Linked DNA regions of Macaca fascicularis. The protein of the gene in region 1 purifies or fractionates together with the protein of each later gene. This does not show direct contact. Links are inferred from orthologs where the notes say so. Each region holds a gene or a part of one and is shown on either strand. Other genes may lie near its edges.

Region 1 (9,748 bases):
TGAACAGTGACCTAAAGACAAAAGCCAACACTCAGCACAACTCACATACCCCAAACTACACCCAACAAATGTTTCATAGAAACCTCCGAATCTTCCAAAGTTTAAAACCCACCAACAAACTTTTAAGAGAAATACCTGCTCCTACTAGCTACTCCATTACACCAATACCTCTAAACAAGCTTTCTCTCAAGTACCTGCGACGAGGTGGAGGACTCCTCCTACGATAATCATCTCGAGGGCGACGACCCCAAGAGGGAGGTGGGCCACGATTTCTACTTCTTTTTTCACCATTCGACAGTTCCACTCTTACACGGCAGCCACATAGTGTTCTGAGGAAGCAAAGATATTACACTTAAAACAGCCTAACTTTCTGACTTGTGTATTAAAGCCAAAAGTACTCCCAGTTGGCTATTCTGCAAAGAACACATCTGAATGTCTGTGAAATTTAATACCAAATTTCTAGCTCCCTTATTTTTACTAATATAAAGTGAGCTTTGGCCGGGCATGGTGGTACACGCCTGTAATCCCAACACTTTGTGAGGCTGAGGTAGGCGGATCACTAGGTCAAGAGTTCGACACCATCCTGGCCAACATGGTGAAACCCTGGCTCTACTAAAAATACAAAAAATAGCCAGGTGTGGTGGCACATGCCTGTAATCCCAGCTACTCAGGAGGCTGAGGCAGGAGAATCACTCAAACCCAGTAGGCAGAGGTTGCAGTGAGCCAAGATCACGCCACTGCACTCCAGCCTGGGCAACAGAGCAAGACTCTGTCTTGAAAAACAAAATAAGTTTGTTTCTCAGTTTCAAATTAAAATTTCAATTAATTTCAAATTAAACAATTAAATAGGATTTTCTAAAGTACCAATTCACAAGGAAGCCAACTTCTATTTTATTGCCTAATTGTTAGAGCCAGTCTGACTACTGAGCTCAATATTAATTTGTTAACAGTTGCAATTTAAGTGTGAAGATCCATTTATCCTTGAAAAACAAGTTCTTCTGTATCTTCATTACGACGACTTCTTTTGAGGTCCCAGCACTTATTTCAGTTATTTGTCAGGCTGTATTTATTGGTCTCCCCCCGCCCAACTCCAAGTAAAAAATGGGCTCAAGACAAGACAACCATTTTGGCCATTTTACAGTACCCTCTCCCCTCAATAGTCAGCACAGAACAAATTATAGCTGTGGCCAGGTGAGGTGGCTCACTCCTGTAATACCAGCGCTCAGACAGATTGAGGTAGGAGGATGGCTTGAGCCCAGGAGCTTGAAGTCAGCCTGGGCAACACAGACCGCCATCTGTATTATTTTTTAAATATACATTTTTTAAAAAAAAGAAATTATAGCTCAGAGTAGTAGAAAAGACCATTACTTCTCACCCTTCATACAACCCGTCATTAAATTTAGATAAGCTATCATATTTGGACAGTGACTGGGAAGAGGTGAGCCCTGGAAAACTTTACTACGGCCTGCTTGAATTGACCAACCTTTCATGTAGCTTTACAGTGAACGCTCAGACCCTTTTTTCCATTATATTTCCAAAGATGAGGAAAGCGGGGTGGGGGCATGGAGGTCAATACTCAGGCCTTACTTAGCCAGCTAACAGGACACTATTAACACAAAGGGAGATAGTAACTGATTCACTTTCTGGAATAAGTATTTCAAACACATAAAAGTAAAGATACAACAAACCCGCGTAACCATTTTGTAAACAATTTTTTAAACAAGTATCAGTTCACAACTACTCTTAAAAATATTTGATCCTGGCTGGGCAGAGTGGCTCACACCTGTAATTCCAGCACTTTGGGAGAGCGACCCAGGCAGGCAGACCACCTGAGGTCGGGAGTTCGAGACCTGCCTGGTCAACATGGTGAAACCCTATCTTTGCTAGAAATACAAAAATCAGCCCCGCATAATGGCACATGCCTAGAGTCCCAGTTACTCAGGAGGCTGAGGGAGGAGAATCACCTGAACCCAGGAGGCGGAGGCTGTGGTGAGCCGAGATCGTACCACTGCACTCCAGCCCAGGTGACAGAGCAAGACTCTTCTCAAAAAAAAAAAAAAAAAAATCCCAATTGTATCTAAAGATACAATTGGCCAGTGATTGGGAAAGCCAGATCTAAGAGCCACATATCCTGTACATTTTAAATATGAAAAATACAAGCAATACATTTGTATCAATTTAAATCACCTTCCATCTAGCTCTCGGACCGCATCAGCTGCATCTCGGGGATCTTCAAATTCAACAAAAGCAAAGCCGGGTGGGTTTCTAGCAACCCACACACTTCGGAGTGGTCCATAGTAGCCAAAAGCCCGTTCCAATTCGGTCTTGTTGCCATTGTTTCCAAGATTGCCTACATAAACCTTACAGTCCAATGGACAGGAATCACGATGCATTTCTGTAATGAAAAATACCAAAAATATTCATTTATCTAAACATCTACAGTTAAAACCACAGATCCTTAGAAAGAATTCCATTATGGTGCACAAAAGAGTTTAAGGTAGCATGTAAAGAGAAAAAAAAACTTAATTCCAAAATGCTAGAAACAAACAAGAAATGTTACTGCTAAGCACCTGTTCCCCCATAACTTTTACTCTCCTGACCCTCAGGAAGCCAGCAATTAGTGAAGGAAAAAACAGCTTCCTTGGAACGTGAGAACACTGGAGGAGCATTTACCATCATCTGGGCCGTGAGTTAAAGACTTAACCTGTTATTTTATTTAATCCCCCAAATAAAGCATTTCTAGAAAAGTATAAAAGAGTTCTGTTGGGGACTCAAAACCAAATACAACAATGATGAAGAAAGCTAGTCCTTTAGGTTACACTACCAGAAAAGGGATTCAAAGTGCCTACATAAGCCAAAACGTATCAGCTTTAATAAAAAGCCAACTTTTCATTTAAAAAAAAAAAAAAGCCCATGGACCGGGCTCACGCCTGTAATCCCAGCACTTTTGGGAAGCCGAGGCAGGCGGATCACGAGGTCAGGAGTTCGAGACCAGCCTAGCCAATATGGTGAAACTCCGTCTCAACTAAAAATACAGAAATTAGCCGGGCATGGTGGCAAACACCTTTAGTCCCAGCTACTCGGGAGGCTCAGGCAGAACAATCGCTTGAACCCGGGAAGCGGAGGTGGCAGTGAGCCAGATCGCGCCACTGTACTCCAGTCTGGGCGACAGAGCGAGGTTCCATCGTCAAAAAAATAAATAAATGCATGCCTATTTTGGTCATTTGAAATCATAGGAACAAGGCTGCTATCACATGTCATTAAATAGACCAAAGTCTTATGCAGTAAGAATTTCTCAAGCAACGAGACCAACTTTCCAGTTTTTTTTTTAAACGTAAGCTCATAGCAGCACTTATTCACAGTAGCCAAAAGGTGTTAACCCAAATGTCCATCAACAGAAACGGATAAGCAAAATGTGGTATAGACATAAAATGAGTATTGTTCAGAATGATGTACTGACAAATACTCCAACGTTGGAAAATCTTGAAAACATTACGCTAAAGAAGCCAGACATAAAAATACACGATTCCATAAATACTAAATATCTAAAATAGCTAAGTTCAGAGAGAGAGATTAGTGGTGGCTAGTGACTGGAGGAAGTGGGACAGGGAAACTGGGAGTAAGGGCTCAATGGGTAGGAGTCTCCTGGGGGCGGTGGGGGGTGACGGAAATGTTTTGGAACTACGTGTAAGTGATGATTACACAACACTGATTATACTAAATACCACTTTGGGATAATTTTACTTTAATAAAAAGTTACAAAGAGGTATTTGCTACTCAAAAATTCACTGCACTTTGGGGACTTATTTTTTTGTTTTTCCTTGGCGGACTTACATTTGATTAAGCTTTATTACTTAGTCGTCACTTCGGCGATGAATCTGATAAACTTGTAGACCAGTTTCAATTACATAAAAACCATATACTCAATAATTTAGCTGAAGTGCTTTCCATAAACACCACGTTCTTACTCTGGGCTTGTCTAATTAAAATATCCAGTCCAGACACATCCTACTTGCTGTGACCACACCCTGTGCCCAGGAGTTCTAAGATAAAACCACTGGTGAAAATCTTTAAAAACACTGCTGGCATCTGTCTTAAGCCTACATTTTAATGGGAGGCGGCTGAAAGAACGAATCTTAATAAGTTCAAGGAAGATCGTTCGGTCTTAGAAAAAAGTGATTAGATTCAGGCTGCAAAAACTGAAACTACATGAAAGTAAAAGTGATTACGGGGGCCATTTAACATGAATTAGAAGGTCCAGTCTTGGTTAGTGACTTTACAAAAGCATTCCGAGGAGCTTCCCAATTAAATGATGGGCCCAAAAAAAAGGCGCCATAAACATAAAAAGGCTGCGACCTGGAATACAACTCGGCTATCGGTCCCCTTTGTGGCTCCCAACTCCCGGGTAACCCCCTATCCTGGCTCATCACCCACTGAGGAATATAAACACCTCCACCCCAAGACTAGGAAACCCTCTGATGGGCCGGGAACCCCCGCCACCGCCCCGTGCTGAACGTCACAAAATGGCGGCGGCGCCTCTTTGTCTCAATCTGGCGCCGCCATTGGGCCTGGCTCCTCCTTGGTACGGTTAAACTCCACTTCCACCTCACTCCCTCTTTCGCTGGTCTCTTACCGAGATCTAGGGTTAAGAAATGCAGCGGCTCAAATCCACACGCTCCGATGGGTCTTCCTGCTTTCCTCCGACCCAACACCCACCAAAGCTCTCGCTCACCCGGCGTCCACGAAATGGCGGACCACCGCTTTCTCCTCGCCTTTATTTATACGCCATACTGGAATCACATGATTGGACGGACTCGCCCAATGAGAAGCAGAAGAGGCCGTGACGTAGTGGCTACAAACGCAGCGAGAGCCGCGGTTGCTGGGAGCGCGCTCTGGCGGTTGCGCCGGGTGGGTGGAGAAGTGCGCCGGCGCGCGCGCTCGTTGTAACAGGCCTGGCGCTCCCTCGAGCGTTCTTCCTAGTGTGTCGACCTTCAAGTTACCCACAGACCCCTCTTCCTAACCTCCAAATGGGCTGGGACTTCATAAACAGCACCGTCCCCGTCACGCCCAAACACTAATCGGAGCCGTTGGCTCCTAACAAGATTAAGAGATGAATTAATTAAGTGCTTCATCCTTGTGAGCGGTTAGGCTGGACCTAAGAGCATCGCGTTTACAAACAGGTCACGGAGCTGTTTGTGACCCAGCTGGCACCAGACTGTGGCCGCCTAGATTCCACCCTGAAGGAAAAACCTGGTTTGAAAAGTTTGCCCAACTCTTGCTGGTTTCTCGCCTCTCACGCAAACTTGCAGGACTTGGCGCTGACAGCAAAGGAGACCGGTCAGGTGACCTGGAAACTATCACCTTTAGCAAACACCGGGAAAAGGAAGTTTCTGAAGAAGATTGAATGTAAATTGTGGGCCCCCAAGCGAATGCCGGGAGGGGTATCTCGGGCCTTTCTCCTAGCAGCCCTTGCACTGCCTGGCATGTATTTTGTCCGGACCACTTCCCTTAGGAACACAGAGCCACAAGAATAATTAACTCTAAGGGGAGAGAGACTGTGATAAGCTTAGAAAAATCACCAAGGGCCGGGCGCCGGGCTCACGCCTGTAATCCCAGCACTTTGGGAAGCCGAGGCAGGCGGATCACTTGAGGTCAAGAGTTCAAAACTAGCCTGGCCAACATGGTCATTAGTTCAAAACCAGCCTGGCCAACATGGTGAAATCCCGTCTCTACTAAAAATACAAATATTGGTCGGGCGTGGTGGCGGGCGCCTGTAATCCCAGCTACTTGGGAGGAGAGCAGAAGAATCACTTGAACCCAGGAGGTGGAGGTTGCTGTGAGCTGAGATCCTCCCACAGCACTCCAGCCTGGGCCACAGAGCGAGACTTCGTGTCAAAAAAAAGGAAGAAAATAAAAATCACCAAGATTTCCTGAACAGTTCAGCTAGTCTCCTGCCCCCAAATATACCCCCACCCTAAACCCCTTTCAGTCTAGTCTGACGTATTGCTAAATTTACTTGTTATATCTGCTCTAAAAAAAAAAAAAAAAAAATGAGAAAAAGGCTGGGTGTGACGGTTCACGCCTGTAATCCCAGCACTTTGGGAGGCCAAGGCGGGCCCATCACCTGAGGTCAGGAGTTCAAGACCAGCCTGGCCAATATGGTGAAACCCCATCTCTACTAAAAACACAAAAATTAGTCCGGCGCGGTGGCACACACCTGTAATCCCAGCTACCGGGGAGGCTGAGAGAGGAGAATTGTTTGAACCCGAGAGGCAGAGGTTGCAGTGAGTTGAGATCATTCCATTGCACTCCAGCCTGGGTGACAGAGCGAGACTCCGTCTCAAAAAAAAAAAAGAGAGAGAAAGAACCTGTGTTTTTATTTATTCCCTCTTAGCTGAAAGATATGCCAATTATTACGTTTTTCCGTTTTTTGTTTTTTTAGAGATAGAGTCTTGCTCTGTAGCCTAGGCTGGAGTGCAATGGCGTGACTTCCGCTCACTGCAACCTCCGCTTCCCGGGTTCAAGCAATTCTCCTGCCTCAGCTTCCTGAGTAGCTGGGATTACAGGCATCTGTAAACACACCCGGCTAATTTTTGTATTTTTAGTAGAGACGGAGTTTCACCATGCTGGTCAGTCTGGTCTCGAACTCCCCACCTCAAGCAATCTGCCCGCCTCGGCCTCCCAAAGTGCTGGGATTACAGGCCTCAGCCACAACACCTGGCCAGCCAATTATTATGTTTTAACTTTCCCAGGTATTTTTCTTTTGAAGCCTTACCTCTTATTGTGGTTCTAAAGGTTTATCTGTAGCGAAGGAAAAATACAGATTTATTACATCTCAGCCTAGTTTCCTCACCTGTAAAAGGGGGGTAGGGGTTCCTAGCAAACCTTTTCTTATTTCTCTCTCATCTAGATTTTTTTTTCTGGCTCATTTATATTTGCCTTGATTTGTTCCCCTCCTCTATGTAAGCTTTTCTCCTCTTTTTCATTTTCTTTCCTTCTATCAAATCAAAGGCTCTGGAGTCAGGCAGTCCTGGATTTGGCCCCAGCCCCCACTGCTAGTTACTAGCTGAAGCGTCCTGAGAAGAATGTTTAACTTCTGTATTTCCTCTGTATAAAATAACCCCAGTCTTGCAGGGTTACAGCTGTTAGGTTTTGTCACTTTGGCCAATTGTGGTCACACCTGCATCCCCAGGGCTTGGAAACGACACAGCAGTCAAGCAATACATAGTTGTTTATTTTTATTTATTTATTTATTTTTGAGACTCTTGGGTCTGGCTATGTCACCCAGGCTGGAGTGCAGTGGTTCGTTCTTGCCTCACGGCAACCTTCACCTCCCAGGCTCAAGCAGTTCTCCTGCCTCAGCCTCCCCAACAACTAGGACCACAGGCGCAAGCACAAACGCCCAGCTAATTTTTGTATTTTTTGTAGAGACAGGATTTCACCATGTTGCTCAGGCTGATCTGAAACTCCTTAGCTCAAAACCATCCACCATCCTCTACCTCCCAAAGTGCTGGGATTACAGCCGTGAGCCACAGCACCTGGGCTTTTTTTTTTTTTTCCTTTCTTTCTTTCATTTACTTATTTATTTATTTTGAGACAGGGTCTTACTCTCTTACTCAGGCAGGAGGGCATTGGAGCAAACTTCACGCACCACAACCTGGACCTCGTGGGCTGGACCTCATAGGTTAAAATTAGCCACCGTGCCTGGCTAATTTTTTGACTTTTTATAGAGGAGTCTCACTTTGTTGCCTAGGTTGGTCTCGAACTCCTGGCCTCAAACGATTCTACTGCCTTGGGAGAGTTGTTTGAGTTGAGACCAATCCAACTCCTGAGATTGGTCTCTAATTCCTGACCTCAAACAAGTCTCCGGAAGTGCTGGGATTACAGGCATGAGCCACCGCGCTGGGCTGTTAAATTATTTAATTAAGAGAAATGATGTATGTAAATCGTCTGGCACAATCACTGCTTTTCAAACTGCTGGCCGGCTGGGTGCAGTGGCTCACACCTGTAATCGCAGCACTTTGGGAGGCCTAGGCTGGTGGACCACTTTAGACCAAGAGTTTGAGATCAGCCTAGGCAACATGGGGAGAACCTGTCTTTACTAAAAATACAAAAAATTAACCGTGGTGATGGGAACCTGTAGTCCAGCTACTCGGAAAGCTGAGGTGGGGGAATCGCCTGAACCCGAGAAGTTGAGGCTGCAGTAAGCCAAGATCGTGCCACTGCACTCCAGTGCATTCCAGTGCAGTCGAATGAGACCCTGTCTTATAAATAAATAAATAAATAAATAAATACATACATACATACATGCTGGCCTTTTAAAACTTTGACCATCTCATTTTCCCATTCTTTCCCACCACTTTTCCTGTTTTTTGTTTGTTTGTTTGTGTGTGTGGTGCTAGTCAAGTGTGTTGTCTTTCAGTGGAACTCTCTTAATCCCTCCACCTCTAGTAACGAAAACATTCTGAACCTCCCCTGGCCATCCACAGCTTTTCATCTTCTAGTGACTTCAGACAAATAAATTGTCCACTTGCTGTAGAGGTTTTTTTTTTTTCTTTTCTTTGTTTTTTTTTTTTTTTTTTTTTTGGTCTCACTCTGTTGCCCAGGCTGGAGTGCAGTGGCACGATCTTGGCTCACTGCAACCTCCACCTCCCGGGTTCACGCAATTCTCCTACCTCAACCTCCCGAGTAGCTGGGACTACAGGTGTGCACCACCACGCCGGGCTGATTTTTATGTTTTTAGTAGAGATAGGGTTTCATCATGTTGGCCAGGCTGGTCTCAAACTCCTGGCTTCAAGTGATCTGCCCACCTTGGCCTCCCAAAGTACTGGGATTACAGATGTGAGCCATCACACCTGGTCCTGTGGAGTATTTTAATCTTCCTTTAAACTTATATGACCACTACTCTTGTCTGGACCCTCGAATACGTGAAGCTTCAAGGAGACATATCAGAGTTTTTGGTACAGACACAGAATGGGAATCATTATGTTGTAGGAATATCTCTTGATTTTCTTTGGGAAACCACCCTTCTCACAAGTAGTACATATTATTGATTTGAATGTGGTTGGGTCCTATACCCCTCTTTTTCAGGGGTAGGGAGGTAACCATTCTGGATTAATTAAATCACCCAAGTTCTTAGTCCCTCCCTTGCACCTCCCCCACCATTAGGAATGAGGATGAATAATCCAGTCAGACCAGTCAGCTGCTGAGTCCAGCACTGTTCACAGGCCAACCAGAGAGAGGTGTGCTATTTCCCCTCATTAGCACAGTCCTGAGCTGGGCAGCCAGCCTGTTTCCAGGAGGGAAGAAGCAGCCTGAGGTAGACCTAACACAGTGGGAAGGAGAACTGCAAGGTGGGAAATAAGGAGCCATGGAGAGTCTTATTTAAGAAGCCTTGAACCCAGCTCCACTTTCTGAATTCCCAATTATTTTTTCTTTTTCTTTCTTCTTTCTTTTTTTTCTTTTTTTTTTTGAGTTGGAGTCTTGCTCTGTTGCACAGTCTGGAGTGCAGCAGCGAGGTCTCAGCTCACTGCAACCTCCGCCTCCCAAGTTCAAGCAATTCTTGTGCCTCAGCCTTCTGAGTAGCTGGGATTACAGGCATGCACCACCACATCTGGCTAATGTTTGTTATTTTTAGTAGAGACGGGTTTTCACCGTGTTGGCCAGGCTGGTCTCCAACTCCTGACCTCAGGTGATCCGCCTGCCTCAGCCTCCCAAAGTGCTGGGATTACAGGTGTGAGCCACGAAG
Region 2 (8,999 bases), on another chromosome or scaffold:
AGTGCCAACCAAAACAGAGGAGGTCAGCAACCTAAAGACACTACCCAAGGGCTTGTCTGCCAGCCTGCCTGACCTGGATTCCGAGAACTGGATTGAAGTGAAGAAGAGGCCTCGGCCGTCCCCAGCACGGCCCAAGGTGGGTGAGGCCTTGTCCTTTGCCTTGGTTTTAGCACTCTGAGCTAGGGTGCTTGAAGGGGATAACACATGGGCACAGCACTCTAGCTCTGAGGGGCCAGCAGGAAATCTCAATAGTTCAGGATCATAGTGTGAGCTGAAGTTACCAGTAGTGGCTGCAGAAAGGTTGATTTGGCCTGTTTCCATTTCCTGTAGGGAACCATCCTTTAAGGCACCCTACTGTGTGAGTTCCTCAGTGACATTTTTCATAAGGGATCATGCAGCATCTGGCAGCGATGTTTCAGGCTTCTTGATTCTTGGCTCTTCTTTTTGCTCCATCTAAATTTCTGGGGCTACATTTTCAGTGTCTTTTCCCTGAGTATTTCCCCACTGTCCCATATGTAAGCCCCTTAGGTCCTCAGAAGAAGGAAGGGAGAGGGAGCAGATGCATAGCCCAAATATGGAGTTAGTCTACACAGGTCTGCTGCACTAATGGCAAGGTGAGCTTGGGAAGCCTGTTTTATACCTCAGGGCTTCAGTTTCCCCATCTTCAGATGAAAGGAAGGAGAGGGTAGAATATTCTAGAAATAGTTTATATACATAAACAGATGAAGTTCACTGTTAAAGAAGTATTACAATCTCTAACTCGAATTACTACTTCCTTTTTAAGTGCTGAATTTTTCTCCACATACCTGCTCATCCTCACACACTTTAGAGACCTCTGGCCTGGGGCTTGTGAGGAGACTTCAGAATTGACCTTGAACTTTGGGTCTATGGAATTCTATACTCCCTTATCTATTTTCCCACAGTGACTACCTCTCATCTCCTTTCTCTCGCCTGCCTGTTCATACACAGAATTGCCCACAGTTGGCCGGGCGCGGTGGCTCAAGCCTGTAATCCCAGCACTTTGGGAGGCCGAGGCGGGCGGATCACAAGGTCAGGAGATCGAGACCACAGTGAAACCCCGTCTCTACTAAAAATACAAAAAATTAGCCGGGCGCGGTGGCGGGTGCCTGTAGTCCCAGCTACTCAGGAGGCTGAGGCAGGAGAATGGCGGGAACCCGGGAGGCGGAGCTTGCAGTGAGCCGAGATCGCGCCACTGCACTCCAGCCTGGGCAACAGCGTGAGACTCCGTCTCAAAAAAAAAAAAAAAAAGAATTGCCCACAGTTGCGGCTTCAGCCCTTAAAAAGTGTTGGAGATCCAGCCAGAGACATGAGGAGAAAGGTAGTAAGTAGATAAGGGTCTTACAAAGTCCAGGCCTACAAAGTTTTCTTTGAAACAGGGGTCAGGCTTAGTTCCCATTCCAGAATTAGAGCCACTACTCCGACCTGGTCTATCTTAAACCTTAAAAAAAGATAGGTTTAGATTTTTTGTAGGAAGCCCTTGGCGCAGCAGGGAATCTACTTTTGAATAAATACTGTGAGTTTAGACAAATGCTTCTCTCTCAGCATCTCATATTCAGTCTATCAAAACAAATAGTTTCTCTTTGCTGAAGGCACCTTGTTTTTTCTTGCCTTTGGAACAATGGTGTTCTTTCTGCCTAGCATACTCTGTCCCTATCTTCATCTGGCTTACTTATGTTCATCCTGTGGTAGTCACTTCTTGAAGGAGGCCTTCCCTAACCATTCTTAGTCACAGTTGACTAAGCTCCTTTCACTGTGTGCTTCCACAAACCTGCTTATAGCCTTTACCATACCACAATGCACTTGGCTGTTTGGTTGACCTTCTCCCACTGAGCTCCCTAAGTAACAGGGACCTTGTCTTATTATTCTGCTTTTAGATTTTTCATACAAAGCTTAGGACTAATGGGTGTTCCCTCATTTATTATATAATTGAACATCTGCTATTACCAGATCCCCATCTAGCTACTGAGTATATAATGGAAAGCAAGGCAACTATGGATCATGGAGCTTTCAGTTCATTGTGAGATTTTGAGTAGATGGATGAAAGGATGAATCAACCCCATGAACTACTGTGTGTCCACTCCTAGGCTAGGTGCTATGTAGGATATAAAGGTAAATGAGAGCACAGTTCCTGCCTATAGAGAATTCATCATCTAGTTGTTTGTGCATGACTGTGATATGAGCTGTGAGTGGAGGAACCTGGACTTCTATGAGACATCCTTTATCATAGTCATAAAGCTGACTCCCAGGATGACACTTGTGACCTGCTGGTGTTACCGGGTCTTGAACAGTCTCATGCTGAGGGGCTGGAGCCTCCCTCTCATGGAATAGCTACAGAATCTGGGCCAAGGACCTCCGGTGATTCCTTTTCCCCTTCGTCTGTCCTATTTTAGAAGTCAGAGGAGCCCAGATTTGCCCACCTGACTTCTCTGCCTCAGCAGCTGCCCTCCCAGCAGCTGATGTCCAAGGATCAGGATGAGCAAGAGGAACTGGATTTTCTGTTTGACGAGGAGATGGAGCAGATGGATGGGCGGAAGAACACCTTCACCGCCTGGTCTGATGAGGAATCGGACTATGAGATTGATGACAGGGATGTCAACAAGATCCTCATTGTCACCCAGACACCACATTACATGCGCCGGCACCCAGGGGGGGACCGCACAGGCAACCACACCTCGCGTGCTAAGATGAGCGCCGAGCTGGCCAAGGTCATTAATGATGGCCTCTTCTACTATGAGCAGGACCTGTGGGCTGAGAAGTTTGAACCTGAGTATTCCCAGATCAAGGTGAGGCTTGGACATAGCAGTGGGTGTGGAGCCTGGGGTGCCTGTAGTGTACAGAGAAGAGGAAGATTGATTAGCTGTGCAACTTGAGGCAGGTCTTTATAATTCAGAGTCTCAGAATTTTTATATATGGGAAGGGGATGATGACTGGTATCTAGCGTGGGCATTAGGAGTGAGGGGTGATGTTTAAACACTGCAAACTCTTCAGGTGAGGCAGGGGTGATTATTATCCTACCTGTGGATCCATAGTTAATATTATGAAAGTTGGCTAGACACTTTTGTGGGGAATAGAATAAAGGGTTAGATTGTTATTTCTAGTCTTAAATATTTAGGCGTCTAAAAATTTAGAAGCCTTTTAAGAAGCTTGTGTTGAGTATGAAAAATGGACAGGTCTTTTGAAAAATTGCTGCTGCCTGGAAACAGTCAAAACATCTTTGTTGTAGGATTTTACAGAGTAGGTATGTTTGGTGGTAGGTTGTCCTAGGATGAGCCCGTGTAACAAGTAGCAGTGCGTTTACTGGAAGTAAGGAGGAAGGAGAGTTGCCCAGCCACTGTGTGATAAGGCAGTAGCAGAAAGAGAGATGGGGAAACACTGGAGCTTTCAAGGGAGAGTCTGTAGTGAGTTCCTGTGGAACTCCTGTAAGCCTGACCTCAGTCTTACTACAGGGAGGGCAGGGCAAGTACTGTCTTTTTCTGGGCTAGCACACTTGTACCAAGGTACCTGGGGTGAGGAATGGTGACTGGGCAGCTGAGAGCCTGGGGACCAGAATTCCATGTATGTCGATGTGGGAGCTGCCCTCTCCAACTTCCTGCCAGTCTTGATTCCTTAAACAGGCTGGAACAGCTTCCTTACTTACATCTTTCTCCACCCATCTCATAACCTCTGCAGCAAGAAGTCGAGAACTTCAAAAAAGTCAATATGATCAGCCGGGAGCAGTTTGACACACTGACCCCTGAGCCCCCTGTGGATCCCAACCAGGAAGTTCCTCCTGGGCCACCTCGGTTCCAGCAAGGTGAGAAGCAGACACCTGAGATCCTGACATGGGTGAGAGGGTCTGGAGCCCTTGGACTAGGGGCTATCCAGGGGTGGATGCTACAGGCCTTTCCTTGCTTCCTGACTCCTCTCTGTGCCACTGCAGTTCCCACAGATGCCCTGGCCAACAAGTTGTTTGGTGCTCCTGAGCCCTCCACCATCGCCCGCTCTCTACCAACCACTGTCCCAGAGTCACCAAACTACCGCAACACCAGGACCCCCCGTACTCCCCGGACACCACAGCTCAAAGACTCAAGCCAGACATCACGGTTTTACCCAGTAGTGAAAGAAGGACGGACACTGGATGCCAAGGTGAGGCATTTCTGTCAGGCTGCTCAGAGTCTTGGGCCTTCTTGATTGCATTCCAGTGCTTTGCTTCTCTCCTTTGCCTTGTCTGAGCCAAGGAAGTGCCAAATCCTTTACCTGCTCTCTGTTCTGAGGCTGGTGGGCTTGCCAACCCTAGGATTAGGTGGCCACATCTGCAAAATATACTGGGTGTGGGAGTGGTGGCCCCATGTAGAAAGGCCTAAGGAGGATTGACCAGGTATGAGTCCTTGGGCAAATCACTTCATTCCCAAACCTTGATTTCTTCACCTGTTTGAAATAGGCATACCAGTTCCTAGCTCACCACTGTGAACATTATAAGAGAATGAATATGAAAATGCTATTGTAAAATGTGAGAGATCATGCCCATCTTAGTCCTACAAGTGCTTGATGCTCCTCAGAGTTGTAGGAGTGCAAATAGTAACAAACCCTGGGCTAACCTTTGCAGATGCCTCGAAAAAGAAAGACAAGACACAGTTCAAACCCACCCTTGGAGAGCCATGTGGGCTGGGTGATGGATTCCCGTGAGCACAGGCCCCGTACTGCTTCCATCAGGTACCTGGGGCAGTGGGGGAAGAGTGATCAGGCTGCCTGTGGGATGGGTGGGCAAGCATGAAATTGACTGGACCAAGAAGATTGGTCTGAAAATTAAAGGGACCCTCATTTAAGAGATTTTCAAAAAAGCAGTGGTGTGGAAAGCTCAGCCTAGGACCTGGGGACGAGGTGGAAAGCTCAGCCCAGGACCTGGGAATGAGGTGGAGGCTTTTTTCCTAAAGAAGTGGTGTGGCAGTCACATGAGACCATATTTTCATACATGCAGAGAGAAAATCTCTCTAAATTGGTTTCCAAGCCTGGATGTCTACTTTCTATCTGAGGAAGGATAGCCAGGTAGTTGAATAAACAGATTTCTGGGAGTCTCTCTGAGCCTGCTGTGTCTTGGGAGGCTACCTGAAAAGTTTTAAAAATTAAAAAAATATATATTTATTGGCCCCAACCTATATCTACTGACCCTGCTTCTTGGGGTAGGACCCATGCTCTTTATTTATTTATTTCAGTAAGATGGCCCCAGTATGTGTTTCCTGTTTCCCAAAGCAAGCTTTGAGAGCCACCTACCTATGCTGTCTACTCCCTGCAAAGATGGCACAGACTGCAAATAGGCATGCTTTTGAAGAAAATAACAATTGATCTTTGAACAACGAAGGGCCTGGGGTGCCCACCCCGCACACAGTTGAAAATCCGTGTATAACTTTTCACTCTCCAAAAGCCTGCTGTTAACCAGAAGCCTTACCAATAACATATAGTGAATTAGCACATGTTTTGCATATTATACGTATTACATACTGTATTCTTACAATAAACTGAAGAAAAAATGTTACTAAGAAAACCACAAGGGAACAACAGACACTGGGGCCTACTTGGGGGTGGGGAGAGGGAGGAGAGTGGGTGCAATTTACCTACGTAACAAACGTACACACATACCTCTGAACCTAAAATAAAAGTTAAAGTCATAGAAAATGTTTACTGTTCAGTAAGTGGAAGTGGAATCATCATAAAGGTCTTCATCCTCGTGGTCTTCACGTTGAGCAGGCTGAGAAGGAGGGGTTGGTCTTGCTGTCTCAAGAGTGGCAAAGGTGGAAGAAATCTGCGTATAAGTGGATCCATGCATTTCAAACCCATGTTGTTCAAGACTTCACTATAGATGGGTTGACCCGTGATGGCTCATTAAGGAAGGTTAAATGCTCAAAAGTTAATAAATGGTTAAAAGCTCAAGTTTTATCATTGGACACGTTTCTGCCATTAAATAGTCTTATGACCCTGGATGAGTCTCCTAATCTCTGTAAGCCTCAGTATCCTCTGTAAAACCCTCTGAGAGTTAATGCAGAGTTAATCAGTCCCATGGATATAAGTTAAAGACCTGTAACTGGGCCTCCTTGTTTGATACTCTGTGAGAGGGTGGATCTTGGCTGACAGAACGAATCAGAGGGACCCCTCCTAACCTTATGGTGGGGCTGCTGTGGGGTACCTGGTGACAGTATTTTTTGTGGTTTCTGTAGCTCCAGCCCCTCAGAAGGGACGCCTACAGTTGGCAGCTATGGCTGTACCCCTCAGTCATTGCCCAAGTTCCAACATCCTTCCCATGAACTGCTCAAGGAAAATGGCTTCACACAACACGTCTACCATAAGTATCGTAGGCGCTGCCTTAATGGTAAGAAGTGAGGGGGGCAGGGGACGATCCTCTGGGCCCCTTATTTAGACCCAGAGTGTAAGGGTTGGGGGATATGGGGATAGGTGACTTTTTTCTCTGACTTCAGAGCAAAAAAAGATGTGACATTATAGCGAGAAGGACTGAAGTTAGACTTGGGCCAGGTAGTTTTAAGCTGTAGGAAGCTAAGGGAATATGGCACTCACAACATTTGTGTTCCTTGATCTTCCTCTATTATTAAAACTGTCGGCCGGGCGCGGTGGCTCAAGCCTGTAATCCCAGCACTTTGGGAGACCGAGACGGGCAGATCACGAGGTCAGGAGATCGAGACCATCCTGGCCAACACAGTGAAACCCCGTCTCTACTAAAAAAATACAAAAAACTAGCCGGGCGAGGTGGCGGGCGCCTGTAGTCCCAGCTACTCGGGAGGCTGAGGCAGGAGAATGGCGGGAACCCGGGAGGCGGAGCTTGCAGTGAGCTGAGACCCGGCCACAGCACTCCAGCCTGGGCGACAGAGCGAGACTCCATCTCAAAAAAAAAAAAACAAACAAAAAAAACTGTCAATTAAGTATTTCTGTATCTCTGACAAGACTACTGACTCAGCCATTGTCAGGTCTAGTCCACTGTCCATCACAAAAGGGTATGTAAGAGGTGGCATATGCTCTCTAGAACAAAGGTTGCCAAATTGTAGTTTGTGAGTCAAATCCAGCCAGTAGTCTGTTTTCATATGGCTTTGGAGCTAAGGACAGTTTTTACATTTTTAAGGGGTTGTAAGAAAAAAAGATTTGTGACAGAGACTATATGTCATCTATAAAGCCTGAAATATTTGTTCTCTGTCCCTTTACAGAAGTAGTTTGCTGATCCCCCCTGCAGATGATAGTGTAAGGAAAGAGCCTGTCTAGATGCTCTTGTCTGTCCCCCCTCTTTTAGCATTCTGATTGGTTTTGTGCATCTTTACAGCCAACCTATCTTGTCACCTGTAGTTACTACTCATTCATCTCCTTTCATTCAACAAAACATGGCTGCTAAATTCTTGATTCATCCACTTCACTTCTCTCTTTCCTACTTTGTGTGTAATAACAGCTTTATTGTGATATAATTTACATATGATGCAACATACCTAAAGTATGCAATGTAATAGCTCTAAGTATATTCATATAGTTGTGTGCCCATCACCAGAATCAATTTTAGAACATTTTCATTACCCCCCAAAATGCTATGTCCCTTACCACTCATACTCATTATACATGCAAACTACTCCCCACCCCCAAAATCCTACCAGTCCTATGAAACTACTAATCTACTTTCTGCCTCTAAGGATTTGCCTATTCTGGACACTTCACATAAATTATACTGTATGTAGTCCTTTGTTACTGGCTTCTTCCCCTTAGTATATTTGGTATACTGACAAATACACAGCAAGGTTCATGTCATAGCATGCAGCAGTACTTTATTCTTTTTATTGCCAAATTGTATTCCATCATATGGATGTATCACATTTTGTGTATCCATTCATCAGTTGTTTGGCATTTGGGTTGTTTCTACTTTTTGTCTGTTGTGAATAATGCTACTGGGCATATTCACATACGGGTTTCCCGTAGACATAGCTTCTCCTTTATTTTGGATGAAAGAGTATTATTTCTGGGTCATGGGGTAACCATGTTTAACCCTTTGACAAAATTAAACACTGTTTTCCAAAGTGGAAATTTTGGAATTTTATATTGAAATATAAATTTTTATATTGAAACATAAAATTTTCATTTTATATTTCTAAAAGCAGTATGTGAGGCTTCTGGTTTTTCACATCCTTCCAACACTTGTTATTGTTTGTCTATTTTTATTTACTTTTATTAATATTTATTTTTGAGACAGGATTTTGCTCTGTCACCCAGGCTGGAATGCAGTGACTCAATTATAGTTCACTGCAGTCTCGAATTACTGGACTCAAGCAATCCTCCTGCCTCAGCCTCCTGAGTAGCTGGGACTACAGGCATGTGCTACCATACCTATCTAATTACTGAAAGTTTTCTGTAGAGACAGCGGTCTCACTATGTTGACCACGGTGGTCTTGAACTCCTGGCCTTACGCAGTCCTCCCTCCTCAGCCTCACAAAGTGCTGGAATTACAGACGTGAGCAACCTTGCCCAGCCAAGATCCTTTTTTAACTGGATTGTTTTCCTAATTATTAAGTTGTAGGAATTCCTTTATCAGATACATAATTTGCAAATATTTTCTCTGATTCTATGGGTTATCTTTTCACTTTTTTGATGCGCAAAAATTTTTCATTTTAATGATACTTATTTTCTGTTTTGTTGCTCGTGCTTTTGGTGTTGTGTATTTTTTGATATTACTGTTATGTACTTGTGAATATTGTAGGACTCTTTAGGTAAATATTGGTAATGAGCCAAATACAGTTAGAATTTCCAGACAATTTGTTCATGCCTTGTCTTGTCTCGATGGCACTTGAAAGCAGTACCAGTTGAGGTGAAGAGCTAGACTGCCAGCCTGGTTCAGAAGCTGCTGCCACCTGCTTCTGGAAAAGTACAGGCCCAGCTCCCAGCATCAGGGCCTGTTGCAGAGTGGTTAGTGCTCAATAAACATCTGCTGAATGACTGAGTGGCAGATGATGAGTGAGGGA

What was found.
Region 2: the proteins of SRSF3 (region 1) and LARP1 purify together in Homo sapiens (co-immunoprecipitation; 3 studies listed by BioGRID and IntAct, with this or other methods). This does not show direct contact. The link is inferred for Macaca fascicularis from reciprocal best matches to the Homo sapiens genes SRSF3 and LARP1.

What each region holds. Positions count from the first base shown.
Region 1 is NC_088378.1:135,076,082-135,085,829, forward strand, and holds the start of SRSF3 (serine/arginine-rich splicing factor 3), read right to left. Parts: upstream 4,752-9,748; 5' UTR 4,634-4,751; intron 2,396-4,633; 5' UTR 2,394-2,395; coding exon 2,188-2,393; intron 330-2,187; coding exon 195-329; intron 1-194. UniProt on the Homo sapiens protein: Splicing factor, which binds the consensus motif 5'-C[ACU][AU]C[ACU][AC]C-3' within pre-mRNA and promotes specific exons inclusion during alternative splicing.
Region 2 is NC_088380.1:161,589,102-161,598,100, forward strand, and holds part of LARP1 (la-related protein 1), read left to right. Parts: coding exon 1-136; intron 137-2,411; coding exon 2,412-2,804; intron 2,805-3,690; coding exon 3,691-3,814; intron 3,815-3,940; coding exon 3,941-4,146; intron 4,147-4,606; coding exon 4,607-4,713; intron 4,714-6,212; coding exon 6,213-6,364; intron 6,365-8,999. UniProt on the Homo sapiens protein: RNA-binding protein that regulates the translation of specific target mRNA species downstream of the mTORC1 complex, in function of growth signals and nutrient availability.